Linked DNA regions of Drosophila melanogaster. The protein of the gene in region 4 purifies or fractionates together with the protein of the main gene of each other region. This does not show direct contact. Each region holds a gene or a part of one and is shown on either strand. Other genes may lie near its edges.

Region 1 (6,487 bases), on a different chromosome or scaffold from region 4:
AATTCGATTGATGTGTTCGCAGTAGTCGTACTAGCAAATTCGTAAAGGCGCAGGAATGATTTGCAATTAAGGGCGTTTTCAATGACCATTCCGAAGACTTACTTATTTGCATAACAGAAATGAACGGCTTGCTTAATCAGCAACACATTCGAACCCAAATAAAACTAATTTGTTTTACCCCGATCGTGTAGGTACTTGACGGCATGGCACATTTGGTAAAAGTAAAGCTTCGAGATGTCCTCGCTAAGTAGTTTGTTGCTGATGATCCGGTTAAGCAGGTCGCCGCCGCGCATAAACTCCAGCACCATATACACAGAATCCGGCTTGTCCACGATGTCGTGCATGCGAACCACGCACGGATGTGAAAGATTCTTCATAATCTTGGCTTCGTTCAGCACCCGGTCGGGATCACTGAAATTGGTACTGGGTCGCGCCCCAGAGAGCATATTCTTCTTAACGATTTTCATCGCAAACTGCTGGCAGGTGCGGGTGTCATAGACCAAACGCACCAGTCCGTACGCTCCAGATCCCAGCTTGCGATTTACATAATACGTCTTGTTAATCTCCTCGGGAAGCCCGATCGACTCATTCGGGCTGAGATCCTTGAATACAAAGGCTACAAGGGAGGGCAGGTGCAAAACATCAAATTACTTGCGAGTCCTTGTCGATAGCTATACCTGCTTGTCGATCGCTTACCTTTGTACGTTGGGTGGGACAGGGAAATTACGTCGTCATTCTTTAGGATTCGCATCCTGTTTGTGCCAATTTTCTCGTTATTCACAAACGTCCCGTTGCGTGAGAGATCCTGCGAAATGGGCGGAAACAAGGTTACTACATTTTAATAATATACGGAATTATACGGAATAGTAACTTCTTTTTGTAAATTAATTGTGGGAAATATTCAATATTGAAGTTACCTTTTTTGATAATCTCAACAAAACATAAATAAAACTTAATTTGAATTCTGCTCTTGTGGGTTCTGAATTTGCTATCTTTTTTTTCAAGGCTTCCTTCAGAGCTTTTGGGTTTGGAACTTCCACCTACCTGAATATAAACTGGATTGGTAAGTTCGCAGTTTGCCCGCTTTATGATAAAATGCACTTTGGAAATGCGCGTCAGGATTTTCTCGGGCAAATCGTTGAGCGTGAGGATCAAGTCGTTGGCCTCCCCTCGTCCTGCGGTGAACTCGTCGTTGTTGAGATCTGCAAACAGTTCAGCATGGGATCGTCATTAATACATGAGGAGCACACGCAATGGGGACACAAAACAGGAGGAAATGTGGTTACCAACAGAAAAGGACGAATGCGTATAAATGATTCGGTATTTTGAACTCGTACCCAGCGATTTGATCTTAATGTTCTTGCCGTACAATCGACCCCAGACTATCTTCTCCATCGGCTGGCTCTCCACCTGCGTCCAGATATTGGAGGCCTGACTCTGGGTTCCCTGCGTTCCTTGTGTGTCGCGTGCCATAGTGATTCCAAAACTCCGAAACTCCGTAGCCCCGTAATCTCGTATTCCTGCTATTCCGCAAGTCGAACTGGAAAACCCGTTAGGTTTGCCTGGAACTGCGTAAATTCGAAATGTCCAGTTACTCCAGCACTACCACAGGCAGAAATGCACACATACACGAGGAGTCCGATCTTCGGAAAAGCTATAGATCTATAGAAGCTATGGGTTTGAATCTCTGAGCGTTTCTTCTGCCCAATTCGATTACATCGAGCTTTTCGCACAGCGCTGGCTGATAGTTATTTAGAGTTTATCAGACGAAAACAACGAAAACTAACAAAAATCACGACATTGGTTCGATGTGAACTGCGCGAGGGACTACAATTTCTGCGGCAGTGTGTGTAAAAGTTGCCGCCTTCCAGGGATGGGGTGATTATCAGCGCCAGTGTTGGCAAGAGTCCCAAGGAAAAATTAAGGGTTTTTACAAATTAAATATTGCTTAGGTTAAGACTTTATTGTCAAAAGAAAAAATACTAATTAACTACCGGACTGAAAATTATATAAAAAACTAAAAGTATTGAAACAGATTAATTCCTTTACAGATCGTAGTTTCTTTAATATGGTACATGTATTTGAAATTTAACGGCCATCCATTGTTGAAATCCATTCAGCACTGGCAGGACCTGTGCAGCCCTGAACTTAAAGAAATTCCATTGTAAGCTATCGTGTTTTTATTCGATTTCGAAGCTTTAAGGTGTAAATTAAGTTTGTTTATTTCATTTTTCTCATATGATAAAATTATGTATCATGTTTATACTAGTTAATTATATTCCGCAATACTTTATAGCTAATTCTTTAGCGATTTTCCTGTCCATATTATCTAGCTAGCTTGGCACACCTTTAGTTTTAACCAACACTGAAATGCAGCCCTAAATTGCGGCGTCGTTTGAAAGAAACTGTAAACTATTACCAATACCAGCGCAAAAACAGAAATAGACAAAATACAATCAACAAATCATCAAAAAACAAAAAATTCAAAACTGTCGAATTGGGATCACAGCTATTATTAAAAGTGAGTGTGCTTATTAACACTCTCCAAAACCATCAGCCTACGGCAACCAAAATTCCTTGTGCTGTTCTCTGACTTCATCTCTGATTTATCCACTTCCTTGAAAGGATGACTCTGCCCCGCTTAGAAACTCCGCTCAGGCGGTCCGCAGTAGGCAGTTACCAGGAGGGGGTGTCCCGCATGCTAACCCCCTTTAACGACGACGAGGCGGAAAGGCGGGAAGCCCGACGTCGCACGCTCCTTCAGCAGCATCACCGGTCGAGCACTCTGGAGTCCATCGAGGACAATGAGACCATCAAAAATTGCTTGGAGCTCTACAATGGCAACAAGGTGAGCAAGGACAACGCCTGGAACCTGATGCTCATCGATTCGTTGGCCAATTTGCTGGATCACCATCACAAGCGCATGAGCAACTTCAAGGTGGGTTTTGCCTCATTCAGTTTATGTAAATGTAATAATTTCATGATGTTATACCCTAGATGGCTGGTTCCTCTTTAGAAGCCTCTTCCAAGGTTTACGGCCTGCGTGTGGACTCCATCTACTTGGACGCCATGCGCATTTCAGCTGGCTTGAGTGCACGAACTCTTACGGATAAGCAAATAAATGCTGCCGAGGATGATGATGGCCCCCAAGGTGAACAGGCTACTGGCGAGGGTCAGGACTCAGCGCAACAGGCAGCAAAAGAAGCAGCACCGAAGCCCAAACGGCAAAAGAAACCCATATCCACCGTGACCAAAAACAGAGAAACGCTGAACAGCCGGCTGGATACGGCTCCCTTGCAGGATCCTGTGTTTGGCAAGCTGAACTCCACTGTGGGCTCTATAAATGCTTCCAATCGTCTGATGCACAACATTCTTCCTAGTTTCGACTCTGAATTGCGCTTGCGTACCACCTACAATTTTTGGAACAGCGAAGAGTCCACCGAGGAGGTCCAGGACCACACTACACTCAATGCAGAAATGGAACAATGGCCAGCCACATCACTTATGAGCACCAATCTTATGCGCAAACTGCTGCCACATGCTGAAAGGTCAAATCTGCGACCGCTGCATACGGGCTACATCATCACAAGTGCTCCCAATCCCAAGTCGGCAAATGAAAAGGCCGCCGAGGTAGTGCAGGATGAAGATCATGACGAGGGTCTGGATAATGCCGACGATATGTGTGTAAATGAGATTTCCATGGCCTTTGACATCAATGCCGAGTGTGAGCCCATGCCGGACCTGGATGGACCACCGCCTCTGGTGCTGGAGGTGGACTCCAATGAGCTGGAAGAGCTCACTGCCGAGGAGCAAATGGTGATCAATAATTGCCGTCGGCTACGTAAGCAGACAGAGTTCATCGAGGATTTGCGACCGGTAGACGGGAATTCCAAGCTAGAGTACTCCTACAGGCCGATGGACCAGATCTCCCAGTTTTGGGCCGGCCCCTCGCATTGGAAGTTTAAGCGGACTCGCCCGCGCAGCACTTTCTCGCAGACCAATGGACAGGTGGACACTCAGCCTATTCGCACTCAACGAGCGAAGAAGTCAGCGCATCTGAATGCCAACCGAAGAGCCAAGGCTTTGGACTATGGCAATGTGACGGAAAACTTCTTCCAACAGCTGGACACCACCATAAGGCAGCGCAAGGCGAATTTCCAAAAGAAGTGGGATCCCCGAAAGCTGATATTGCCCACCAAGTTCGAATTGGACCCGGATCTTTTCTTCAAGTACGAATCCGCTCCCAGCATAAAGTTGTCGAAACGCGCAGGTGAACCTGATTCGGATGAGGGTGGAGATCTTGGCATCGATATGGATGCGGATATGCACCACGATGATGACAATGACCAGGAGCTATTCAACAACGAGCATTTTACCGACGCCGTTCCCGCCAACGTGAGCGTTATTGCCGCGATTGCTGCGGAGCAAGCGGCCGAGGCAAGCATGATGAACGTGTCCGCGGGTGAGATTGGCCTCACCCAGATGAACGCCACTTGCAACAACACAGTCTTCGAGATCGGCACCGAGTTCGAGGGTGCGCCGTCGCAGGTGAGTCTTCACTATAAAATCATATATACATACCTGGTATTCTAAAAACCATATAAAATAATTTACTTGCAGGTTGCCAAAGTGATTGTTCCATTCGCGAAGAGAGCCAAGGTTATAGACATGAAGAATCTGAAAAAGTCCTGCAACTCTCTAATACAGAAACAATTGCTAAACGCTGTGCCGGAGGAGACGATACCCTCGCATCCCAAGAAAAAGGGCGAACACTATTCAAAGGGTTTCGCGAGTTTTCAGCAGGTGTATCAGAAGCTGCCCGACCTTTTGACCACCAAAATGTCAGACTCGCTGTCCCCGTCGGTGGCATTCTATGCGGTTCTGCATTTGGCCAACGATTTGAAACTGCGGCTAATTCCGCAGGAGGACTTGGAGGACTTTCAAATTCGCCAGGTGTTGGATTGAATTTCTTTAATTATTTTTCAATTCATAGTTCTAGTTGCCCTTAAATGCTGTTACAATTTATTTTCACGGCTACTCCTTAATCTCTTACCTCTATTTTTAACTCCCAATTCGTATCAGTATTCTGAAACAGATATCCTCACCCCAGTCGAATTTTATACACAAACGAAGCATTGTTCTGATTTAAACACTAGTTAGTAAACAATAAATTAGGAAATATCTAAGAAAATTTCGCTGTTTTAATGGGGTATAATAAACTGGTGAAATTTTCTCAATTGGTAAACACGTATTTATGGCAAAACGGCATCAAAAAAATCTGTAATTTAAACGCCGCAGAAAAGAATTAAAACTTTCGCATTAGTTTTGGCTGTTTATATTCTGCTGGCGGCTCAGACAGAAGGGAAAGTAGTTAACATTGTTTTTCGTTTCTGTTGCTCTTTCATTTGCATACTTGTGTTGGTGCACACTGACAGAAATGATTTCGAGAACAATTTTAATAAGAAACCTCGATTATTTTAATATTTTTAACATCTGCCGAGTAACAGGTATTTTAAAACCAAAAAATAAATAAAAAAATGGGTAAAAAATTGTTTAATTTATATGGTAAAATGTTGCTTGTTTACCACTGAAGAATTCGCGATTTGAAGCTTTTCCGGCGGATATAACTGTTTACAGTGTAGAATGGAGAAAAAAGGAATGGAAATCCTAAGGCGTTTTTAGTTGCAAGTGGTTTTTGTCGCCTCCTGAAGAGGATTTTCCTTCTGCATCTGTGTTTGTGGGGCACACATGTGTGTGTGTGTGTGTGTGTGTGTGTTGGCTGCTGGTGTGTTTGTGTTTGTTGGAAAACTTCGGTGTTTACAGAGCGCTTTTAGGCGCCGTTTGCGTGTGTGTGTAATTGCATATTATTTGCATAAATATTTGCGAAGTATACTAAGTAACGTTAACGTTGGCGTCTACCGATTACACTCTGTACATATGCGAGAAAAAAACAAAAACGAAAACATCAACAACCAGATCATTCGAAAACGTTTCGCAAAACTTTTGACATTAGCGAATGACACTGAACAAAGTTGTCAACTTAAAAGTTGATTCTAATCTGCATATGTTCAAATTGACGGTTACAAAAGGATAATTTCGATGAGATTTCCATGTTTGCCTTAAACTTAAACTATTTTTAAGTTTTTGGCTGAAAGTAATAAAACTAAACAAAAAATCTGTGAAATTTCTGGAAAATGTAGTGGGTTTTGCGCTTGTTATGTATGTTCTTATCGTTGTAACCAGGTTCCGTGAAAAAGTTTCCCCTGCTCATATGTTTTTCAGTTTTCAAGGGAAATCCAAACATTTCAAATTCCATTTCAGTAGCAGACACTGTTGTTGAATAATTCGAGAGCATGCATTTTGAATATAATGACTTTTGCACAGTGAAAATTAAACGTATTATGCTAACCCGTTAGCCGCCCACCAAAATTTTATCCCCGTAAAGTGCAATTTCGTGTTAAATTTTCAATGCCTGCATGAAATTAAC
Region 2 (7,963 bases), on a different chromosome or scaffold from region 4:
ATTAATGCATTGACCCAAAAACGAAACCGCTCACGTCAGCCCAAAATTAGCCGCTTGCAGAAATATTTTTGCTTTTTTCCAGCTGGATACCAATCACGCACTGAAATGGGTGGTGCGCATAGTTGCCAATAGTAGTCAACTATTACGGAGCAAGACGACAAAAAACAAAAAAAAAACCCACGTCGCTACTTCAATTGAAACGAAAAGTTGGACAAACTTCAAGGAAATATATGTATATATGAATGTGTGTAGGCCACTTGCTCGCTTAGAAGTGCCTGAATTCCGAGGACCGTTGGACTTCGATGACCTTTTTGATTGGCTCGAGGCCTCAATTAACATTATATTAACCATAATGTGATCTTAGATGATCTTCCGCCGTGATTTAAACGTGATGGAAACAATAGTAAGACAACTAGTCACGAAGTACAGCTGGCACTAAACTAGCACTCAAAATTATGTTGACTTGCCATTTAAAAATATTTTTCCAATTTATATGCACTGGCAAACTTGGAAATGATTATGAATATTGAAAATATTGGATAAATATTGCTAGAATTGAGTGTAAACTATGGAGCACCTTTGAGATAAGTATAGTAAATTGTTGAACTTTTTCAAATCACTTGTGTAATAGGTCTTTCTGAAACTAACGCCAGCTCCACCCACTTGGAAATGCGTCCCAGCCATGTGCCACATTGCGGCGGACGGGTTGAAATGCGTTTGCATCATGGATCGGCAGCAATGGCCCGTAGCCGTGCCGCACCATATCGTAACTCAGGCGGTTGGGCAAGCGACGCGTGTTGGCCAAATGCAAGATGCGATCTCAAGATTGGAGATATGTGCATACATATGTGTGACTATAGTAGATAGACCGACTGACTGACAGTCCGTGTGTGTATATCTCCATCTCCATCTCGATCTCCATCTGAATCTCAATCTGCAGCTCTAGCTGAATGTCTAGCTGGGGCAGCTGGGCATTTGCAGCATTTAGAAAGTAAATTTATCATCTCCGCCGGCCAGAGAGGCCAAGGCAGCGGGTCAGGAAAATTTCAGCAACTGTCATGGGGTTCAATGCACACGCTCTTTTTAGTTTTTTTTTTTTTTTGTTTTGTTTTTTGGGGACGGGTGCGGGCATGTGGACAACCCGACTTGGCCCCACTTGGCTGGTCGTTTCGTGTTATATAACTCCTTCGATTCGATCGACAACTTTCACACCCAATGTGCGCATGCGCGCATGAGCATGCCAAAAACTAAATAAATTCAGTCGTACCCAATCGAAAAGCGAACAAAAGGGGAGAAAATTACCAATGACCAGGGCGTCCAGCGACGACGACATAATCATAAGCGCCACCATCATCCAGATGCACAAACTGGGTAAGCGGTGGGCGTTGGGAATTCGCGCTGTTGGTTGTGGCTTCGAGCGTCGCTGGGCGGAAGCGACGACCTTGACTGTGAAACCCGTTTGGCCATTTGCATTATAGGCATTTTCCCCCGGGCAGAGCATTTTTCAGCCTGCTTTCCACTTTGCCACTCGCGTTTGTGTTTGGCTGCTTGCTTTGAGCGCTTTAATCTTGCGCGCGATCGGAAAACCGAAGGAAAAACCGCCAGTGAAAATGGTTCCGCACCGAGCCAAAGTCGAGTTGTGACTAAAGTCGTGCGAGATGCAGCCAAGGCATTATATATATTTGGGCATTTCTCTGACTTGCGGATAGCGGAGAGAAAGCTCCGCGCAGTGGGTGTCTCGCTTATGTTTTTGGGGAGCGCAGAGCGCGCTGAGTTATTCATAATTTCCAAACTATTACACGGCTTTTTTGGAAATTAAGTAGTTTGCTTGCTTATTATGAAATTCATTTACTTTACGATGAAATAAATGTATTTCATTATTTTGCTAACTTCATCGAAAAAACTACTTAGTTGAGTTTTATTGTGATTTAATTAATAATATTTCATATTATATTTACAAATATCAGTTTCATATATGTTTTAGAATATTTGAAATTTGTTCTTAGCGTCGATGTAACGACTTTTAATTTAAATTCAAACTACAGAGCTGACAACTCGCCTGATTTATTTAACGGCCTTGCCAGTATTTTGCGGGCACATCAAGACGGTCACACTGCTGATAGCGTCCTATTACCATTGGCGCCCGAAAAAGCGATTTTGTAATTCGAGGATTTTTCCTGGATAAATCCACACGGAGAATTTACTGAGAATAGCGCACGATGCAGAAGGCGCGTCCCAGCAAGGGCACGCCCAAGGCAGCTGGCGGAGCCCGGCAGAGCGGCCAGTTTCGCGTACCGCAGCTAACTGCTCAGCAACAATTGCGGGCGCAGCAACAACAGGAGGAGGAGGACGCCGCCGTGGACGCGCTGGATGATGCACTGATCTTCGACGACGAGGAGGGCGGCACCCGGATCGGCGACATATACATACCGCCTCCGGTGCCGCCACATTGCTCCATGGAGAGCACCGGACCGCGCCTGATCATCTCGAAAATTGTAAATCGGAATTTCAAGAGCTATGCGGGCGAAGTGGAATTGGGTCCCTTCCACCAGAGCTTCACTGCCATCATTGGACCCAATGGCAGTGGCAAGAGCAACGTTATCGACTCCATGATGTTTGTGTTTGGTTGCCGCGCCAATCGCATCCGTTGCAAGCGTGTCTCCACCTTGATCCACTCCTCGTCTAGTTATCCCAATTTACGCAGCTGCTCGGTCGCCGTCCACTTCAAGCAGATCGTAGACAAGGGCGACGGCACATGCGAGGACGTGCCCGACTCCAGCATTGTTATCGAACGCACTGCCATGTCGGACAACTCTTCCTACTACCAGATCAACGACAAACGGGCGCAGCTCAAGGATGTGGCTAAGCTGCTTAAGAAGCATCATGTGGATCTGGAGCACAATCGCTTCCTCATTCTGCAGGGCGAAGTGGAGTCCATTGCCATGATGAAGCCAAAAGGGCAGACTGAAAATGAAACTGGAATGTTGGAATACCTGGAGGATATTGTCGGAACACAGCGCTACATTCGCCCACTGCAGCAGATAAACCAACGGGTAGATCAACTCACAGACGACCGAACAGAGAAGCACAACCGCTGCAAGCTGGCCGAGCGCGAGATGAAAGATCTGGAGCAACCGTTCAATGAGGCCGTCGACTATCTGAAGAAGGAGAATGAGCTGGTGCGCACCAAATCCTTCCACATCCAAAAGATCATCAGCATCAAAAAGAGCAAGCTGGAGCAGTACACCCAGGAGCATGAAGCCTGTGCGGAAGAGCTAAAAACCCACGACGAGGGCACTGCTGCCCTGAAACAATCACGAGCCGAAAAGGAAACAATCATCCGAAAGGAAATTGAGTAAGTACCTAGCTTCAACTTCAAACTGAGCTATATATTACATTACATTACGTAATTTCAGAGAATACGAAGCTCTAGTGAAAAAGCGCGAACAGATCAAGAAAAGACTTGTGACTGTTGAGAGTGCCTACACAGAGATCCAGAGCACAATGGAGAACACGAACAAGCAGCGCAAGAAGGACAAAGCCCAGATAGAAAAGAACGAAAAAGAGCTGGAGGATCTGCACAAGTTGCCGGAGAAAAATCAGCGCGAGATCGAGGATTGCAACAAGAAATTGGAGAGCCTGGAAGTAAGTAAGGTGACACTGAATGAGGAGCTTGAAAAGCAGCAGGCCGAGTTAACTAAAACCACTGCACCGCTTACCGAGAAGCGCCTTAAGCTCAGTGACGAACTGGTGGGCCTTAAGGAGAAGGTCAACACGGCTAAAGGAGAGGTTCAAGTGTTCGAGTCGCAGCTCAAGATCCTTAAACAGGCAGAGACCACTGAGTCTAGGAAATATGAAACCCTAAAAAGTTCGTACGAGCAGTCGCAGAAAAGTCTGGAGGAGAAAGTAACAAGGGTGGACGAGCTGAAAGAAAGCATTCCACGGATGAAGACCGAAATTGCCAGCAAGTCCGCGGAAGTGGACAAAATGGTTAAAGAGGAACGCAACCTATCCATGCAGTGCAACAAACTAAGAACAGAGGTATGGTTCATTTATTTACATTCTATACTGTTCTTCTATTTATAAATACCTTTTCCGGCAGATCAATGAAAGATCTAGCGTCATGCAGGCTCAGCGATCCAATAACAAGGTCCTAGACTTCCTCATGCGTATGAAGATGGAGGGAAAGATCCCTGGTATTCTAGGACGCCTGGGTGATTTGGGTGGCATAGATGCCAAGTACGACATTGCTATTTCGACTGCCTGCGGGCGGTTGGACAACATTGTTACGGACAACTATGAGACCGCATCGGCGGCCATTGGCGCTTTAAAGGAGTACAACGTGGGCAGAGCCACCTTTATTACGTTGGACAAGATTGAGCACCATCGTCGTGAGGCCAACTCCAGGATAAATACGTAAGTAATAGTAACAGAATGAATGGAAATGGTTATTAACACCATTCACGTACTATTGCAGACCAGAAAACGTTCCTCGTTTGTACGATCTGGTTAAGGTTGAAGATGACCGCGTACGAACCGCTTTCTATTTCGCCCTACGGAACACACTGGTATGTGACGATCTAGAACAGGGCACCCGCATCGCCTACGGCAGGGAACGCTACCGAGTTGTGACCTTACGTGGTGAGATGATCGAGATGACGGGAACCATGTCTGGTGGCGGCAGTCGTCCTATACGCGGAAAAATGGGCACCCAGGTGCGCACCAAGACGGCAGAATCGGCTGACAGTTCGCAAATATCTCAGAAGGCGTTAGAAGACATGCAGATTCAGGCGGAGGAGTTACAGGCCCGAGTCAATTATTGCCAGGAACAGCAGGGCAGTCTTGAGCGCGAGATTCAAACCCTGAAGAATGGCTTGCAGCGTGACGAGGCGGAGTACAAGCGGCTGGCGGTGAGCATCACTTCTTTGGAACAACAGATGGCCAGCAACCTGAAGCAATGCGAGGCGCAGCGGCAGCGAATGCTCAAGAAAACAACAGACGAAAGGGCAGTCAAGGAGCGGGAGGAGCAAATAGAAGCAGCGAAGCAAGAGCTGGAACAAGCACAATTCGCCGAACAGGCTGTCTCCAGCCAAATCGAAGAGATCCAGAACCAATACGATACCCTTAGAAATGAAAGTGTCAAGCCTGTGGAGGCCAAGATCAAGAAGGTAAATAGCCAGATAGAAAAGCTGGCCGCCAATGTGCGGTCCTTGAATGTGGGCTTGGCCACAGCAGATCGAAATATAACGAAAATCACTGGAAACAATAATAATCTCCGTGAGAATATAAAAGCTGCAGAAGAAAAATTGAAATCGTTGAATGAGGATCGAAATAAGGCTAAGGAAAAGAAGGAGGAGTTGGAAAAGGAAATAGAGGAATCGGAAGCGTCCATCGAGGGCGCCAAATCACAATCCTCCGATATAAAAAAAGAAATAGATGAGATCACCAAGGAGGAGAACAAACGAAATATCGAGCGCATTGAAATAGATACTAAGCTGCAAGCTGCAGCGGGAAAAATGAACAAGGTGAAGAATGACATTCCCGGATGGCAGGCTCAACTGGCGCCTTTGAAGCTCAACGAGATTCCAGGAGAGACTGAACCGCAAGCGCCACTCAAAGAACTCAACGAAGAAGAGCTGGAGGCAGAGACTCTGGAAGCCTTGCAATATAAGCAAACTATGCTGGAGGAAGATCTGAAAACAAAGAAGCCCAACTTGAGTTGCATAAAGGAGTTCAACGAGAAGCGCTTAGTCTACCTCGATCGCGTCCGTGTGCTGGAGGACATCACCTCCAAGCGCAATGAGATGCGCGACAAGTACGAAGAAGTTCGCAAGCGACGGTACAAGGAGTTCATGGATGGCTTTAGCATTATAACAAGAAAACTGAAGGAAATGTACCAGATGATCACACTGGGCGGCGATGCTGAGCTGGAGCTGGTGGACTCCATGGATCCGTTCACCGAGGGCGTAAATTTTACTGTGCGACCGCCAAAGAAAAGCTGGAAATACATCTCGAATCTCTCAGGTGGTGAGAAAACTCTCTCCTCATTGGCACTTGTGTTTGCCCTGCATTATTACAAGCCCTCTCCGCTGTACTTCATGGATGAAATTGATGCGGCGCTGGATTTCAAGAATGTGTCTATAGTGGGTCACTATATCAAGGTAAATACCTCTCTGCTTTCTTGCCTTACATTCACATTTTAAAGCCAATTGTTGTTGTGTTCACTTAGGAACGTACGAAAAACGCTCAGTTCATAATTGTTTCACTTCGTGTCAACATGTTTGAGCTGGCCAACTTCCTGGTGGGCATATACAAGGTCAGCGATTGTACGGACTCCATCACTATGCTGAACTATCCGCCTACGCTGCCCACTCAGTCGCCAGTGGTCGCTAACAGCCAGTACGTGGGTGGAACAATTGAGGGGGATAACACGATAGCTGCCGAGAACCAAGACGATACCCCCACGAAGAAGAGCCAATCGCCGCCGTCAGAGCAAATAGTCCGCTTGATTAGTGAGTTGGGGAGGGATACCACATTTGCGCCGCCCTTGGAAAGTACGGTGAGGGACACAATACTCGCGCAAAATCTGAAACAGGCCGCCACTGAGGTTGCTGCTCAACCGTCAGATGCCACGGGAAGAGTAACCACGGATGTGTCCCTAGCAAGCCCGCCATCTTCCCCAGCCATACTTAATGTTTAACTCCAACCTACTTCAATATTGTAGAATGTTTTCTTATCCTGTAAAGGGGCATGTTGTAAACTGCCTGGTAATCTAATTTCTGGTAAAGACCGAGACGTAATTTGATGACCTCAGGTGAATCGGTATTTCCAATTGGTATTATCCTTTCAATGCTTAATAATAAATGTTACATAAAATTGTACAGGCATCTTTTTTTTTATTTAAAAACTGAGTGGTCTTTAACTTATTCTTAACTAAAGCTGGCCATAATCTTTGAGCAAATTCCTTCCAGCGCCTCAGTGGTGACATTCTTAAACTCAGTTAAATCCTCGCCAGAATCGCAGGCTTTGGATATCTGTTGATCCAGAGGCAGGGAGCCCAACAGCGGGATTCCCATTTCGGCGCACATGGCAGCGGCTCCTCCGGTTTTGGCTGGAAAGATTTCGGAGCTATTTCCACAATGGCCGCAACGGAAACTGCTCATATTCTCGATCACGCCCACAATGGGGATATTTTGCTTTTTACAAAAGTTGATCTCCTTGCGCACGTCCAGCAGAGACACCTCCTGTGGAGTGGTCACCATCACGGCGCGCAGGGACTCCGGGTTGGCGTCGTCTTTCAGGTACGAAACCACAGACAGGTGCTCATCGGAAGTTCCAGGTGGTGTGTCCAGTAGCAGGAGATCCAGATTTCCCCAGTCCACCTCGCTCAGAAACTGCCTGATCATGCCATTCTTCTTGGGTCCTCGCCAAATAATGGCATCGTCCACAGAGCCCAGAAGAAATCCGATGGACATCAGACACACGTTGTCTTCGATTCCCACAGGTGACCAGCCGTACCCAGACTGGTGGACACTCTCCCCCAGGGCGCCCATCAAACGCGGTTGCGATGGACCGCAAATGTCGATATCAAGCACGCCGAAGTTACTGTCCGGATTACTTCTGGCCAGATAGCGGGTTAGCAAGCTGGTTACCGTGCTCTTGCCAACGCCGCCTTTCCCGGACAGGATCAGCAGCTTGTGTTTGACATCTTTCATGGATTCGACCACCAAAGCCTTGCCGGGATCTTCGAGTTTCTTGTTGGGATCGCTGCAGAGTCCTTGGTTGGGGCAGCCCGAACAGGCACTTCCCTTGCCCGCCTCCTCGCTCTCGACGCCAGGACAGTGTTCCGGAGGTGGTGCCTGCATGGCTCTTAGTTTCAATAGTTCGAATTCCGTAAACTAATTGTGAAATGAAATGATAACAAGGGAACAGTGTGGCCAAGTTATAACCGGGCACTCAACAA
Region 3 (8,596 bases), about 19 Mb from region 4:
TACGGCAAAACAACAACAACAAGCAAAGCCGAAAACGGTACAAGTGGCTTTGCAAATTCGTTTTTAATAATTTAAAGCAAACAGAATGTCGAAGGAGGATAAGGAAAAGACACAGATCATCGACAAGGACCTGGACCTGTCCAATGCTGGGCGAGGCGTATGGCTGGTGAAGGTGCCCAAGTACATTGCCCAGAAATGGGAGAAGGCGCCGACGAACATGGACGTGGGCAAGCTCCGGATAAACAAGACACCTGGCCAAAAGGCCCAGGTCTCGCTTTCCCTCACGCCCGCCGTTTTGGCTCTAGATCCCGAGGAGAAAATACCCACCGAGCACATCCTGGACGTGTCGCAGGTCACCAAGCAGACGCTCGGCGTATTCTCGCACATGGCACCGTCCGATGGCAAGGAGAACTCGACTACCTCGGCGGCACAGCCGGATAACGAAAAGTTGTATATGGAGGGCAGGATTGTGCAAAAGCTAGAGTGCCGACCCATCGCCGACAACTGCTACATGAAACTAAAGCTGGAGTCCATACGCAAGGCATCGGAACCACAGCGACGTGTGCAGCCTATCGACAAAATCGTGCAGAACTTTAAGCCTGTAAAAGACCACGCACACAACGTGAGAACAATAATACACTCTGTTTTGGTAATATATATGTATATATAACTCCTCCATTCCTGCAGATTGAATATCGGGAGCGAAAGAAGGCCGAGGGCAAGAAGGCGCGCGACGACAAGAATGCCGTGATGGATATGCTCTTCCACGCATTCGAGAAGCATCAATACTATAACATCAAGGATCTGGTCAAGATCACCAACCAGCCGATTAGCTACCTGAAGGAGATTCTCAAGGATGTCTGCGATTACAATATGAAGAACCCGCACAAGAACATGTGGGAGCTCAAGAAAGAATATCGCCACTACAAGACTGAAGAGAAGAAAGAGGAGGAGCACAAGTCAGGCAGCAGCGACTCGGAGTAGCATTGGGAGAATCGCCGACTTACTTTCATTAAAACACATTAAGTAATTGCATGGTTCCGTTTTATTCCTTAAGAACTACACGTTATACTTACGAAAAAAACATTATATCTTAAAATGATTGTAAATAGACACTAGCTTGCACTCTGGTAAATACATACGTATATATACACTTTATCCTTAATTTATCTTGAACTTTGTCTTATGTCCGAAGAGTTCTTATGTTTATACTTTTGTACAGACGAGATCAGGTACTTGAATTTAGTACTATCAGCTCATGAGGATTTCCAAAACACGCGCTTCGTCAATCAAAAAGTCATTTGTCTATTTTTGTTCTAAATCAAAGGAGGTATAGTGTTAAATTTTTAGGAAATCATAGAAATAATAAGAATACGAAATAAATCTATTCGTAGGTAAAGTAAAATAAATCAAAAATGTTCAAAAGAAATAGAAATTAATAAAAATGTGAAAATTTCATAAGCAACTAAAAGCGTCGTAAAAAGTTAAAAAAGTGAAGTGAAAGAAAAACTAAAAAACGGCTTCATGCTTAGGAAAATCGAGCTTAGATAATACTGGTTTACTACTCTAAAGAAATATTGATTCATACATCGATAAGCTTAAGCTAAAGCATTCTTTCTATTGCAAGCTTCCTAATAATACGTAACTAAAACTTACATTTGTACACGATTGCGGGTAAATAATCTGGCAAGAACATATATCTAATGCAGCCTCTTGATCTTGTTGTACCGCATGGGAAAGCGCATTGATCTCTCGGCCTGAAAATAATATACATAAAAATTGAATTCGAATAAGGGGGCACACAAACTAGACTCTACTACTGGGTCAGGACGCAAGGAATCTTATCTACAAAGAACTACTAAGCACATTTAAGACGAAACACGGCTACTACTTCAGGCGGGCTGTCGATGCCAATGATGAGCCCATCGAAGATATCCCCGAGTCGGCATCAGAAGGAGTAGGCCACATCTTTGGGATGGGCTGTATCAATCGCACAGTTTTAGCAAACACCTCGGATAAAGAATTTTCCGCAGACTTTCGTTTTGTTGGTGCAGATGCCGTCGTGCTTGTTCGTGGCTTGTGAGCTGAATCATTTAGCTGTTTACTTCTCGGCGTCGATTTGCTCTGGGCAGCATTTATGTTGCCCACGTCGTCCTCGGGATTAATTTCCATTCGCTTCATACTCTTTAAATGCATTCGAAACTGAGACATGTCGATGGGCTTACTTTTATCGCGATTTTCAAAATCCAGAGACACGTTTCCGTGGTTCGTCTGCAAATGAGGAGTGTAAAAATGATTGCTTATCGAAGGACAGCATTTTGATTGAACGCATTAACTTACCAGTACCAGGGAAGCCAGCATGTAGCGACACATGATACTAGGATCCTTGTCAGCCATGACGTCGGCTAACGTGGCTGTTCTGTTGCCCGCCTTGCAAATGTCCAGGATCTCGGTGCCCAAGTCCTTAATATTGAAATTCTGCCGTTCATGGGCTGCTTCCAAAGCAGGAGCCAATCGTCTATGCCAGTCCCGGATCTAAATGGACAACGTTAGTATTTTTTTTATAATTTTATATCCAATATTTACCAATGAGCAGTCGTCGACTGCTGAGTCGGCAATTGGATTGGGTGTTTCAGCAGACAAATCATTTGCATCTGCTTCGTCATGTAAGGTATCTTGGTCCTGCACGGTTGAAATCTCTAGGTCTGAATTGTCAGGTTGGGTGACATTTATAATGTTACTATCCATTGCACTCGGTTCGGTACTTAAATCCAATACAGAACTAACTAACGCGCTCTCCATTCCTAAATCCACTGTGGTTTCCAGTCCGCTTAGCGTTCCGGAGGATTCTGTAGCAGTCACTTCAAGTTGCGATGAATTTGCGGTATTGTTTTCCGCATTGGGTTCGGTGGAAGCGTTTAATTCCTGCGCTAGTGAATCTCCCAGCCCACTTTCCTTTGTATCGTTCACATTCTCATTCAAGGCGTCGCTGGCGCTCGCGTCAGTTAAATTATTGGTGTTGGCTTCAATCTCATCTTCAAGCTCAGTTTTAACTTCTCCGATAGTGGAGACACAACTTGATACACGCGGCTCTTCGATATCGAAGCCCGAGTCAAATGTGGGTCGACGTTGGCGGAAACCCAGAAAATCTGGTAAGATATGTAAGATAGTTTCGCGACGTGACATAGTGTGGCAAAGTAACTTACTCAAGTCCTCATCAAATTCTAAACTACAGGGGGAGCCGGGTTCTCTTTCATTTTGGGGAGCCTCTCTTCCAATTTGCAGTACAGTTCTGGGAGTGGTTGGGGATTTTTGTTGTCCCTCTCGCTTAATAGGAAGGCGCTAAAAATAAAACACATATGCAGTTCAAGATTTTTTTCCAACAGTGATGTAACTACTGAAAACACTTACTGCTTGCCTGAATAAGTCGAACTCAGGTGGAAGTTTAAAGATGCATTTCCGACGCAGGCGTTTTATGGGGAGACCCATAACATTCAGCAGAATAGGATAGCTCACCTCCCTTGGAACATTCATGATAAGATCAGCATCCATCTCAATGATATTGAGCGTTTTTGCCTCCATCGATGGGCTAACCATCTGCAACATGGGCGACAACTGGCGTTGATCTTCTAAATCTGAAAGAACAACACCCTCATCATCAAAAGACTGGCCTGCTGTGACAAATGCAATGCAGGGATGCAAGTGTTTGACAAGTGCCAAAATAAAAGAGTAAAGAAAAACAAATATGTAAGTATTTGAAATCAAAAAATAAAGGATTAAAAAAACCCTTATCCTTAGTACGCTTGGCGAGCGTTGGATTGCCATTGCTTTACCTGTATGCATTTGAATATCGGAAAGCTCTTCCATACTGATCCCTGAATCGATTAGCAACAGTTCATCTAGAGTGAGATCTTTTATGGGATCCACTCTCGTGCTGTCGAGAACACTAGACTCGTTAATGGCTAATGTGCTGCTCAGCGGAGGATTCTCTTCTTGGCTATCGCTTAAGGAGTTTTCTATATGGCTGACGCTTAAAGTCGCCTCGACTTCGCTACTCTTTAAAGTAGAGTTCTCCGCCTGACTGATGCCCATCGTAGACTCGGCTGTGGTTAACGACCTGCTGTTTTCATCCACCAAAGATTGGTCAATAAGAACAGTTTCGTTCGTGTCCATTGGCAGATTCTTGTCCATGCACATTTTTTTCGCCAGTCCCTCATCCAAATTGTCCTCCATAAATCTCGCGGAATCAACCAATCTTCTTCTCCTTGTGACAATGGCTCCATAGCGGGCTGCTAGCATTTGATTCTCCAGCGCAATATACTCGTCCAGATATTCCTTTGTGGTCATGTGCTCATTAAGAATCTCAGTGGTGTTCACCTGATTTGTGTGAACATATTCTTTAATGAGATTCAGCCTTTCGAAGGGAATATCTGGCAGAAGCGTATTGTATCTATGCTCTACGTGATACGTAAACATTTTGTATTGCTTTTTCTCATCCTGGTCGTAGGGATTGTGAGGATCCACAATTGGCGCGTGTTTCCACAGGTTGGGCGGCGTGTGATCCTGATAAAGGTATTCTATCGTCCGATTTCTCGTGCACTTTACAAAGCCCGCCGCGTTGAAGCGCTTGTCGTCCGACATGGTTTTAAACCTTTTCGGTTCCAACGTGAGCAAATAGGGATCAACTTCCTTGTTAGTTAGCTTTTTAGGGTGACGTTTGCGCGTTTCCTCAGGCCTGCGCTCGTTTTTCTCCGGTCTGTAAATATGAAAGGAAAACAATTATTATATCGCTAAATGCAGATTAAAAGAGGATAAGATTTCTTTTTTTTAAAGGACTGATTATTATGTAACTTAAATATTATAATGAAATCATCTTATGTTTAATCAAAATACTGGTGCTATCTTTAAAATTAATTAGACTTTCAACATTTAGGTCAAATAATCTCCCCAAATTCTTTAATGCCGGCTGATAAGAAAGAATTTAAGTGAATTATAATGTAAAAATATTTATTTAGGATGTGATCTATCTCTGAATAACTTGTTATTTTTATGAATGAACTGTCTACGTTTTTAGCTTCACTTGTCTGGTTAATTTCTCATTTCTTTATATACTCTGTTTGTTATTTGTTTTTGGAAGCACGAGAACGTGCCCTATCGTCCATTAACGGCAAGCCGGCTTCTGTGATATTAATGCAAACAAAGCCGAAGGGGGCGTAAAGTGAAGCTCGATAAGCGGAATTCTGGACCGAAAAGAGCCAGCAATGGCGACAAGTGGGGAGCACGTGGCCTTGTCTTTCTCCATCTTCTTAACTCTTCAGTTCTGAGTTAAACTTACGCAGCACTTCCGCTAGGGGTCTCCTTCTGCAACTCCGATGTGAGCAGGGCTTCGATCTGGTGCTCCACCACCTGGCACAGGTACTCCACTCGGTCTCCATAGATCTTGCCGCAGTACTGGAGGGCACTTCCTGCGGCCACGATGGCCGATCTTCGAGAGACATCATTTCGTCCTAAGCAGTGGCGCAGTAGCTCTTCAATATACTGAAAATATAAGCAATGTATTTGAGGATCTGCAGGCTTTTGTGTTCACTGTAAATAAAATAATAGATTTTCTTGAAAACCCATTTATATAATTTTAGTTAAAATACCAGTTATCGAGGCATGACTGTAAAACCCACGCACGTTGCGTCACACTTTTATTTTGATCTTTCTGCTCTTCGGCGGTTTTGCTTATCTTGATAATAGTGGTCTTCAACACTCACATATCCCAGTGATATCCGTAGGTCCGTGGAGTAGTCCGTGTTTTTGGAGAGCTCTTCGAGGAGGACGACTAGCGAGGCCAGGTCCTGTTGCTCATCGTAGGCGCGGATGCACTTGGCCACTTGGGTTCCCGGCCGATTCTTGGCTATTTCCAATATCTGCTCCCGCGCTTCGCTCAAGTAGGCTGTGAATTAAATAGAAACCGATTGGATTTACTTAAGCAAAAACCACACACCCAATCGCAGATCCGCTTTATTGTTTATTTCGGCCCTCCCCATACACACACACACACACTCGCATAGAAGCACCAACACACGCGGTATACTGGAAATAGCGCTGACTTAATCAATGGGAAACGAAGATCACGCCTGGGGCTGTCCTGCGTTGGTTACCTAAGTTCTGGATGCTTACCCGCTTCCGCTTCTTCAGGCAAAATCCGCTCCATGGCTCACTAGATGACACTAGGAAAAGTTTGTTTTATGTCCGGTTTTGCACATTTTACTGGCATCGTGCACAAGCACTGCAAGCACGCACACACGCTGAGTGGGGAAATCAAAATGGTGGAGGCAGCACGGCTTGTCTCTTAGTTGGGTCCAGTTATGTTATGGTTTTACGTTTTGTTTTCATTTCTTTGGCAGGAACAGGAATATTGGCGCGAATCGGTGCTGGAACAATTAGCTATTCACATCAAGATATATATGTGTTTCTTATTTTGTTGTGCTCTACCGACGAATGAGGGAAGAGACGGAGAAAAATTGCTATGGCAATGCTGTAGGGGGTGCATGCAAGCATGGTCACCTTTAAGTTATCGATAGCTAGGCACGGTGAATCATTTATTATTTCGAGCTCGATTAATATCTAATTTAATTTTTGTAATTGTAAATTATTTGTCAGTGTCTCAAAACATATTATAATAAATTCTGCTTATTATTGCATTGTCTAGCTTCAAACCTCTAGTGTGCTCATTTTTAAGAAAACAATTTGAGTGATAGTGTCATCACTATCGTGAGTGATTCGCCTGTCTCAGGTGCCATCACTTCTTCAAAACAAAAATCATTTATTATTTTTGTATTTCCGCACTTGTTAATCTCATAATGTCCAACCAGGAGACCCAGGTTTCCAGCCTGCCGATGCCGCCGGAGCGGTACATCGCCAATTACACGGACGAGAATATCCGCCGCAACCGAGCGCCACGCCCACCGCCGCCGCCGGCGCAGCACGAAGTCTATAGCATGTTTGGCATCCAGTACAACAACGACGAGATGATCCGCAGCTTGGAGTCCCAGAATATTAAGCGACTGATCCCCATCCATTTCGATCGGCGCAAGGAGCTCAAGAAGCTTAACCACTCCCTCTTGGTCAACTTCCTAGATCTCATTGACTTTCTTATCCTGAATCCTGACAGCCCGCGGCGCACGGAAAAGGTGAGTCAATTGACCCATTAAAATGTAGCATCTATTGTATTACACTCATTTGATATCTTAGATTGACGATATCAGTCTGCTGTTCGTCAACATGCATCACCTCCTCAATGAATTTCGCCCACATCAGGCGAGGGAAACGCTGCGCGTCATGATGGAAATGCAGAAGCGGCAGCGCGTTGAGACCGCCGCCCGTTTCCAAAAGCACTTGGAACGTGTGCGCGAGATCGTTAATACCGCCTTCTCAGCTCTGCCGGTTCTAGATGATGACGACGATAGCGGCGGAGCAAAGATTAAGACGGAGGTGGATCCGTTGGAGGCGAATGCGGCGGCCAAGAATGATCCCAGTTACCAGCACGATCGCATGTTGTGCAAGCTTGTGGACGCTATCGAGTAAGCTGAGTTGGCAAAAGACTGGACATCGACGCTGGAAATAGTGTCAATCATTGTGAATGGCTTGGAAAAAAGAGCTCCTCATATTTATAACTCCTTTTAGTATAAGAAATAAAACCCCAATTGTGGGATGAGAATCTTGCACGTCTAATGAGTAATTCATTCAATGGGAATTAATGTGTTAAGTCATCTTTGAGATAAGCTTTACACAGATAAGATCCGAGATAAAGGCTCATGATTAAGCATCCCACAAATTTCACCATTAAAATGACGTAGTCAGCGTGGAGTAATAATATAGTCAAATGTCATAAATTAATAATCTATCTAGAACAATTTATTCAGGATAGGAATAACAATATAAATGTATATATTTAATTGTAAAAATTGTAAAGACATGTGACATGACATGAGACATGAACACCTCACACGTTTTCCTACTTTTAATGGGTGCTACCGCATGGCATCATCGTGGCTAGCCGAAATATGCTCGTACAGTGCGTTTCATAATGTACATATACATATGTGGTTTTAATGAATTTGTATGGAGTTTCATCAAAATTACTAATTTTGTTTGATAAACATGATTAAAAAGTCAATAGAGATATTCATTCACAACTGGAGTATAATGTTTTCCCTAAAATTTTTTTAACTCACTGTGCCCTTTACAAAATCCAACGTGTTTTTCTAAATAAACATGGTTTAATACGTTTATTAGCTTTCTTAGATTGTAAAGCCCGCGATAAGAGAGATGTAGTTAAGTGAATCTTCACTTTTATTGAAGTAATCTCCGATAAAAGGAGGTGCCATGCGCTCTAGATGATCATTTCTCGTGCAGCATTGCAAGTGTGCAAGTCGGTTGAATAGGAATATTTTGAAAACCCTTAACTCATTGACTTTGAACTTAATTTTTTAAAGAACTTGTGGTTGCGCTTTTTAATTAAGAACTGCATCGTATTAATTGAACAATCAATTTCAAGAGCAAGCCGATTGTGAAAACCCATGGTGACAAACAGTAATAGCTAAGA
Region 4 (7,903 bases):
TCATGATTAAGGAACCACGCCAGTGGTCCAATGAAATGATGTACCACCTGTACCCGGATACGGAGAACTTTGTTGCTGTGCATCCGCTGGTCACGGAAACCTCTCCAAATACCTATGAAATGAGTCCCAAAAAAAGACGTTGCTACTTTGATGTGTGTATAGCTTGCAACTAATAGGAAAAGATAATCATAATAATAATTCCTTACTCCATAGGATGAAAAGAACCCTACCTTCCAGAACACTTCGTTGACTTATAACCGCGAAAACTGCCTGGTGGTGTGCCTCCACTTAGTTGTGTGGAAGACCTGCCAGTGCTCGCTGCCAGCTTTTCTGCCTCCCATTGGTAATTATCGTAATTATTCTATTACATTTTAAATTTTTTTTTTTTTTAGATGGAGTTCCGGAATGTGGAATCAACGATGCACAATGCTTGGGCAACAATTCCGATATATTCACTTACGTGAAGATGGGTGATCAGGAGAAATACATTAACGACTCACGACAGGGTCACTTTTGTGATTGCCCAGACAATTGCAATTCACGGCTGTACGAAATGTCACTTAATGTGCGCAAATTGGATTAGTAAGTTCAATGTATATATTCTTAAAGAACAGATAATTAAATTCCCCTCTCTTTTAGCCCAAAAAACTCGACAGATCAATTGATAAAAGCCCAGGTTTATTATGGCCAACGTGTCATGACCAAAATCATTACGAAACTCAAGTACACCAATATAGATTTACTGGCCAACTTTGGCGGGATCATAAGTCTGTATATAGGGGCCTCCGTCATGAGTTTTATAGAGCTTTTATTTGTGCTGGGAAAACTGATGTGGGGTTTCATCAGAGATGCGCGCATAAAATTGAAAGAGTATACTAAGTAGCTTACTTTAAAAAATGATGTAAAACTTTGCCGTAAACAAGTATATATAACATTATTTCTGTTTAGTTTCCTGGTCCGTGGGATAGCGTATATAGATAGCCGGATGTGGCACTGTAGCCGGCGTCTCTGGCAGTTGGTCCAAGTAGGAGCAGCCGATGGCCAGGGCGCTGCCATCGGAGCTGAAGTTGAGCGTGGATATGGAGGTATCGTATTCGTGGAACTGACAAAGGCGCTTCTTGTTGAAGCCATCCCAAATGTTCACAATGCCATCGGATCCGCCAGTGGCGAACGTCTGATAGACATTGTGGAAACTCAAGGCATTAACGGGGTAGATCTGTTCGATATTCTGCTCCCTATTCCGGTGGCACTTGAAAGCGAACTTGCGGCGCTGCACCTCAGGATCGTGATCCAGGTACTCCACTGCCACCCGTCCCTCGATGGAGGACATCACGTAGCCTTCTTTGTTGGGGAATAGACGAATGCAGCGGGTCTGGTACTTGAGCGAGGACTCCCGCTTCATGATGTAGCTGTCCATCTTGCGAAGGTCCCAGATGAGCACCTTGCGGTCGGAGGTGGCCACCACGATCTTTTCGTCGATCACGGACATGGAGTACACCTTTCCGTTGTTCTGTTCGAAGGTTCCAACGCAGCGCTTCTCCCGCATGTCCCACAGCTTCACGGTATTGTCCCAGCTACCCGTGAGGATGCCATTGACATACTCGGCGTGCTCCACGCATCTGATGGGCTCCTCGTGGGCACCAATTATGCTTTCCGCCTGGGTGTTGACATCAAAGAGACGCAGCTGGTTGTCCAGGGAGCCACTGACCACGTGCACTATGTCCTGCGGATCGTTGGTTGAATAGGGGATTGTTAATGTGTACGAAGGAGTCTCACCATGAAGGCACAGTCGAGAAGAGGGGCATCCTGCACGAATTTCTGACGCAGCTGGTTTGCCGGCACATCATAGAATCTAAGTGTTCCGTCCCAAGAAGACGCCGCCATGTATTGATTCGATTTGGGGCCGAATTTCACAGCGGAGATCAGGTCCTCCGGCGGATTGTTAAGCTTGAACTCTGGGGGACGCATTTTGTCAAGTTTTCTGCTAGCAACTTGTGGATAATAAAACAATAAATTCAAACAGAAACTGCTTAAAACAAATCAAACTCCGAATTTGCACGGCGTCTGGAGAAGAGATGCGAGTATTTCGATATCACTATCGATACATTGCATATTTGCATCAAGGGGACTCCCTAAACAGGTACACTTTTAATAATGTAAAAAATTTTACAAACCCCTGTTAAACCAATATAAATTTAGTTTTTGTGGTAAGTATCTATCTGATAAATACACCCTCTCATTATGAGCATTGTAAGCTTGCAGTCAGCAGTAACCGATAACCGATATCAAGCGATCGATTTGGCGGCGAATCTGCCCATCTCTATAAGCGACGCCACTCAATTCAGAAGATACAATTATTATTTCGCGGTAAATAGGAGTAATAACCGCCATGGAGGAATCGCACGACTTCCAGTTCGTCCTTCCCCTGAATGCATCTGATCTGATCAACTCCAGCGGAGATCAGTATTACGTGAAGGAGATTTTTGGCGCCCAGGAGATTCCCGCGAAACTACAAGGTAAGTTTCCGTTTTCGCGGTTGGTTTTTAAATTGAGTACAGTTTTCGGACGCGCAATCTTCATGTTTCCTTCCCAGAATGCAAGCGCAAAGTGCACTTGGGCGATCCTTTTTATATATTCGAGCACTTCGACTTGTATTACTCGATCATCGAGGCCCGCGGTTCAGATGGCGCCTCTGCACAGAATCTAATGAGGTCCTTTGACCTGCTCTACCTGACCGTGGAGAAACTGTTCCAAGACTTGCAGCCCCTGCTGACGGCCAGTGAGCCCATGTCTAACCAGCAGCGCAATAGTTACCTCAACCTGACCAAAATGACGCTGTTCCTCCAGGTGAGCACCGTCAAGAAGATCAACAACAGTGTCCAGCAGGCCATGCGGGATCAGCAGCTCAATGTTCAGAAGAAGCGTGCCAAGCCATCGGAGGGATTGGAGCAGTTTCCCAACTGGGAGGTTAAGCGCGGCAAGTTCTTGGTGCAGCTCTTCAACGTGCTGCAGTGCCCGCTGGAGAAGCTCTGGAGTCCGCCCGTAGCCGAGGAGGACTTTATAAAGTAAGAGCAAAGCATTTAGCATCCTATTTCTTCGATCTGCAATGTATCCATCTTCCCCAGTTTGCTCTGCGACCCCTGCTATCGAACAATCGAACTTTTGCCGCTTCGCATGGACAACAAACACGTATTCGACACGATCTTCCAGATCTTGGGCACATCGATCAAGCGCTTTAACCAGGCCATGACCTTCCCGGTGCGCATTCTGCAGATCCTACGCGGTACCGAGCATGCAGCCCATTCAGTAGCAGCTGGAATTTTGCTTCTGCACGAGGAGTACGGAATTTCTTCGGTCTTCTCCATTCTAATCAAGAGCATTGTGGATGCTCTAAGGATGGACAGTTCTGACTCTTCGGTGTCCAAACACTTCTCCAATTTCCTGGCCGAGTTCTCGAACATAGCACCTTCGCTGATCGTACCGCACCTGGAAAAGCTGGCGGAAGATTTACTAGATTGTCAGTCTCACACGCTGCGAAATTGTGTGCTCCAGATCATCGGCGACACCGTGGTTAGCGAACTGACCTCGGAGGATCTTAGCGAAGAACTGAAGGAAGTACGCAATGAGTTCCTCGAGCACCTAATGGCCCACATCCTAGACATTTCTGCACACGTGCGCTCCAAGGTGCTCAGTATCTGGCATCACCTGAAAACCCAGCACGCCATTCCGCTTAACTTCCTGACCAGAGTGCTGGAGGAAGCCATCGGAAGGTTGGAAGACAAGAGCTCGCTGGTGCGGCGTGCCGCCATGCATCTGATCAAATCCGCCCTGGAAAGCAATCCATACAGCAGTAAGCTTTCCATAGATGAACTCCGTGCCAAGCATGAACACGAGGTGCAGGCAATGGAGAAACTTAATGAGGTACTCGAGGAAGAGCGCAAGCAGGAGGAGAAGCTCAACGACGAGTTTAGCAGCTTGGCGCCCGAACTGCTGCCTTTCATAGAGGAGAACCTTACGGAGTGTGAGTTCATGCAGTTCCGCTAGTTCGACGTATATATTAAAGTTTATTGTTATATTACAGTTCCCGATATGCAGTTCGACAAGGAGGAGAGCGACGAGACCTTGATGGAGCGGATCATTCCGCTGATGCGCGAAAAGAACTACAAGGATGTTATTGTTCTAGTGCGAAAGGTAGACTTTTTGGCGGGAAATCAGAATATGAGGTATGTTGCTAATCAAAGATGGTTTTGTTTTACCATAAATATATTTACTTTCCAGTTCCTTACTGAAGCACGAGGAGCATTGCGTGTATGTGCTGGCCTTGCTAAAGACATATCACCTGCTGGCTGCTGGATTTAAACAGAGCGTATGTTTAATCTTAGAAAGTTATATTCCCTTCTAACCAAATCTTTTAATTTAGAGCGAGGAAATGCTGCAGCAAATCAAAACGGTGCAGTTCCTAAAAGACAGCATTGACTTTGCCGTCTTGATGACTTCAGCCTTCCCCAAACTGCACGAGATGCTCATGTCCAAGACAAACACGGATGTTTTTGAGGCGGTGGACTTGTTCACCACCGGGTACATGTTCGGAATTCACGGCACGGAGTCGGGAATGCAGAGAATGCTGCAACTGGTCTGGTCTTCGGACAAGGAGAAACGAGATGCAGTGTCGGATGCCTACAAGCGCGTTCTGTTCTCCACGGACCAAACGGGTCGCGCTCATGCCATTAAGGTGGTGCAGAACCTGTCGAAGTTTCTTTCGGAAATCGAGTATGGTCACTACACGGCCTTGGAGTCGCTGATGACCGAGTGGGTGTTGGGTGGCGACATCGATGCTGCTGTCATCCAGGTGCTCTTTGAGCGCTTCACGCTAAAACTGGAGGGCACTACATCCAACGAATCTCGCCTGTCGCTCCAGCTCCTGATAATGGCCTCGCAATCGAAGTCTAGTATTGTTTCGGCCAACACTGCCATCATCGAGGATATCGCCGTCGGAGAGCGGGTGCGTCGGGATCCACGGATATTTACCTCCTGTCTGCAGCTGCTGGTCAACTCAATCGATGCAAACAACACTGCCAAGTATTATAAGCGTCAGAACAGCGATGCAGAATTCGTGGGAAAGATCACGCGGCTCTTCCTCGACTTCTTTTTCCACAGAAGTCTATACGACTTCGACGCACTGGCCATGAGTGTTTTTGAATACTTCTATAGGATGTGCCAGGCGCCGGATGTGATTGCGCAGCAACTGGTGACGGCTTTACTCAAGCAATTCAATGAGAGCTGGCTGGTCAAGGAAGCGGCTGCAATAGTTCCCTCTCCAGACAAAGCGGATACGGAAACTGTTCCGGACTCGCAGCCCTTGGAGATTCCGCATTCGCAGACCCTTACTCCCACTCAGACTCAAGCTGATAGCCAATCGCAGATGCAAGGCACCTTGATTCCCGTGTATCTCGTCTCCCGCTTAATCTTTTGCATCGGCTACATGACCATCAAGGAGATGATCTTTCTCGACATGGATATCTATAATAACATGAAGTATCGCGACGAGCTGACGGCTCTTGAAGAGCGTAAAAACCGCAATCAGCAGGCGGGAAGTTCACATAATGCGGCCAGACTTACGCTTAATATGTCAGCGATGGAGGTGCGCAAGAGGCTGTCCGGAGTGGCAGCGGAACCACAGCAGGAGCCAGACGACGATCTGGTGGGAGCGACTGCAGAGGACAACATCGCCGAGGAAATCCACGGCATCTGCGAGGACATGCTGCTTTACAACCCGGATGCTCTGCTCTCCAAGCTGGCGCCATTTATCATAGAGATTTGCAAGCGTCCAGGTGAGTTTGGTGATCCCACGTTGCAACAGGCCGCTACTTTGGCTCTGGCCCGGCTCATGACCGTCTCCTCCCGTTTCTGCGAGTCCAACATGAGCTTTTTGATGAACATCCTCAACCTAACGAAGAACATTCGAATCAAGTGCAACACGGTGGTGGGGCTGTCGGATCTCACTTTCCGTTTCCCAAACATCATCGAGCCGTGGACGGGGCACTTCTACGCTCAGCTGCACGAATCGAACACCGAGTTAAGGCTAACTGCCGTCAAAATGCTATCTCATCTGATCCTCAACGAGATGATACGCGTCAAGGGTCAAATCGCCGACATGGCACTTTGCATTGTGGACGGCAACGAGGAGATTCGCAATATCACCAAGCAGTTCTTCAAGGAGATAGCCAACAAGTCGAACATTCTGTACAACGTCCTGCCAGATATCATCTCCCGTTTGGGGGACATAAACCTCAACCTGGATGAGGACAAGTACCGCATTATCATGTCCTATATCCTGGGTCTCATCCAGAAGGATCGCCAGATTGAGACGCTAGTGGAGAAGCTGTGTCTGCGCTTCCCGGTAACGCGGGTGGAGCGTCAATGGCGCGACATCGCCTACTGCCTCGGCCTGCTCACCTACAACGAGCGAGCTGTGAAGAAGCTAATGGACAATATGCAGCACTACAGGGACAAGGTCCAGGTGGACGAGGTTTATCAGTCCTTCAAGCTCATCATTAGCAACACCAACAAGTTGGCCAAGCCGGAGCTCAAAGCTGTAGTCACCGAGTTCGAGAACCGACTGAACGAGTGCCTGCAAGTCAACCCGGATACCGCTGCCCAGGGTGATCAAGAAAGCACTCCAGAAGGTCAGGGCAACAGAACCAGAGCGGCGCCAAGGACAAAGAAGGGTGGTCGCAAGCCGGCGGCCAACAGGAACAATACTGTGCGAGGACGCGGAAGACGTGCTCGCCGGGATTCCACCTCAGAAGAGAGCTTCAGTTCCAGCAGCAGCGACTAGTTCGTGCTCCATCTTAAGTTACGATCTGAGCGGGTTTTTAATGATGTACAAAGATGGTTTTTAATAAAATAGTTAATAGAACCTATTATTGATATATTTATTACTTTGAAGTCAACAAACATCTAGTAAACTACTAAGATCCGTTTCCACATCCATCAGAAAGGGAACAAATATTTGGTTGCACTAAGCTACTGGGATGGGGAAACCAACACACGTAAATGGCAATACTCTAGACGCTTTGGAAGTACTAAGTTTGGTGGTTGCGTTCATGTTGTCTCTGGGCCTCCGACAGATGAGCACTGGGCACTGGCTTCACTTAATTTTCTTGCGAAGGGAGCGCTGGAGGGCAGGACCGTCGTCCGCGGTGCTCAGCGCAATGGCAAACTGGGCGGCGTAGTAGGTGATCATGATCTGGAGGCGGGCGCAGGGCAGGGGCACGCCCACGAACATGGTGACCGCGATCAGGGCGTCGGAGATCACAAACAGAATGGCTCCGATGGCACAGAACACGGCGAGGAAGTTCCTGGAGTCCACGGCGCGGGCCAGCGATCTCCACAGCATTGTGGTGATCAGGAAACAGTAGATGGGCACTCCGATGATGAGAATCTCGTCCAGTTTCGTGTGCACGAAGTAAACAACTGGGGGTTTCAAATATTCCAGGTAAGGTATACGTATATAATGACCAGTAAACTTACAAAGCGATACGGCCACGTACAAGAGCAGTCCAATGAACCACTTTATGGGCTTCCAGCCAAAGGCGCTGATATAAAACACGTGCGCCACTCCAAAGGAGATCATTCCGAAGGGAAAGAGATTTATGTTGAGCAGAGCATCACCACCACTCGAGAAAACCAGACCCAATAGAATCCAAAGTGAGCGACGGTATCTGTTAAAAATTTCTTGTTAATAAGTAAGTAGTATATAGTATTTCGATGCTATAAAGCTTACTCCTTCTTGAGCGAGATTCCCTTGGCCACCACATAGAATACAAGCGCGAAAATGGGCAGGCATTTGAGCACGGTGGTCCATAGCTCTCCTTGAGGATCCTTCCTCACCAGCGAGAAG

Evidence for each region.
Region 1: the proteins of Cap-D2 (region 4) and barr purify together in Drosophila melanogaster (affinity purification with western blotting; 5 studies listed by BioGRID, with this or other methods). This does not show direct contact.
Region 2: the proteins of Cap-D2 (region 4) and glu purify together in Drosophila melanogaster (affinity purification with western blotting, with the first as the bait; 2 studies listed by BioGRID). This does not show direct contact.
Region 3: the proteins of Cap-D2 (region 4) and Cap-H2 purify together in Drosophila melanogaster (affinity purification with western blotting, with the first as the bait; one study listed by BioGRID). This does not show direct contact.

Annotation. Positions count from the first base shown.
Region 1 is NT_033779.5:20,056,863-20,063,349, reverse strand, and holds barr (barren), read left to right. Parts: upstream 1-1,979; 5' UTR 1,980-2,164; intron 2,165-2,333; 5' UTR 2,334-2,626; coding exon 2,627-2,938; intron 2,939-2,997; coding exon 2,998-4,548; intron 4,549-4,620; coding exon 4,621-4,965; 3' UTR 4,966-5,187; downstream 5,188-6,487. Other genes in the region: lok (loki), read right to left, coding at 179-616, 697-805, 1,045-1,202, 1,287-1,473.
Region 2 is NT_033779.5:16,732,534-16,740,496, reverse strand, and holds glu (gluon), read left to right. Parts: upstream 1-2,108; 5' UTR 2,109-2,219; coding exon 2,220-3,355; intron 3,356-3,416; coding exon 3,417-4,041; intron 4,042-4,102; coding exon 4,103-4,416; intron 4,417-4,477; coding exon 4,478-6,161; intron 6,162-6,229; coding exon 6,230-6,700; 3' UTR 6,701-6,880; downstream 6,881-7,963. Other genes in the region: ChLD3 (chitin and LDLR binding deacetylase 3), read right to left, coding at 1,303-1,501; Nubp1 (NUBP iron-sulfur cluster assembly factor 1), read right to left, coding at 6,930-7,865.
Region 3 is NT_033777.3:10,759,189-10,767,784, reverse strand, and holds Cap-H2 (chromosome associated protein H2), read right to left. Parts: upstream 6,476-8,596; 5' UTR 6,203-6,475; coding exon 6,169-6,202; exon of another isoform or gene 5,942-6,168; coding exon 5,760-5,941; intron 5,539-5,759; coding exon 5,336-5,538; intron 4,757-5,335; coding exon 3,834-4,756; intron 3,675-3,833; coding exon 3,412-3,674; intron 3,343-3,411; coding exon 3,207-3,342; intron 3,150-3,206; coding exon 2,587-3,149; intron 2,536-2,586; coding exon 2,341-2,535; intron 2,272-2,340; coding exon 1,888-2,271; 3' UTR 1,758-1,887; coding exon of another isoform or gene 1,657-1,757; 3' UTR 1,317-1,656; coding exon of another isoform or gene 1,290-1,316; 3' UTR 1,029-1,289; downstream 1-1,028. Other genes in the region: transcription factor TFIIFbeta, read left to right, coding at 86-622, 688-984; MED7 (mediator complex subunit 7), read left to right, coding at 6,852-7,181, 7,243-7,575; CG31272 (uncharacterized protein), read left to right, coding at 8,596-8,596.
Region 4 is NT_033777.3:29,673,341-29,681,243, forward strand, and holds Cap-D2 (CAP-D2 condensin subunit), read left to right. Parts: upstream 1-2,310; 5' UTR 2,311-2,389; coding exon 2,390-2,516; intron 2,517-2,593; coding exon 2,594-3,065; intron 3,066-3,125; coding exon 3,126-4,021; intron 4,022-4,081; coding exon 4,082-4,223; intron 4,224-4,278; coding exon 4,279-4,366; intron 4,367-4,420; coding exon 4,421-6,838; 3' UTR 6,839-6,917; downstream 6,918-7,903. Other genes in the region: ppk19 (pickpocket 19), read left to right, coding at 1-152, 214-343, 393-582, 640-883; Bub3, read right to left, coding at 935-1,723, 1,777-1,968; CG7582 (uncharacterized protein), read right to left, coding at 7,151-7,724, 7,787-7,903.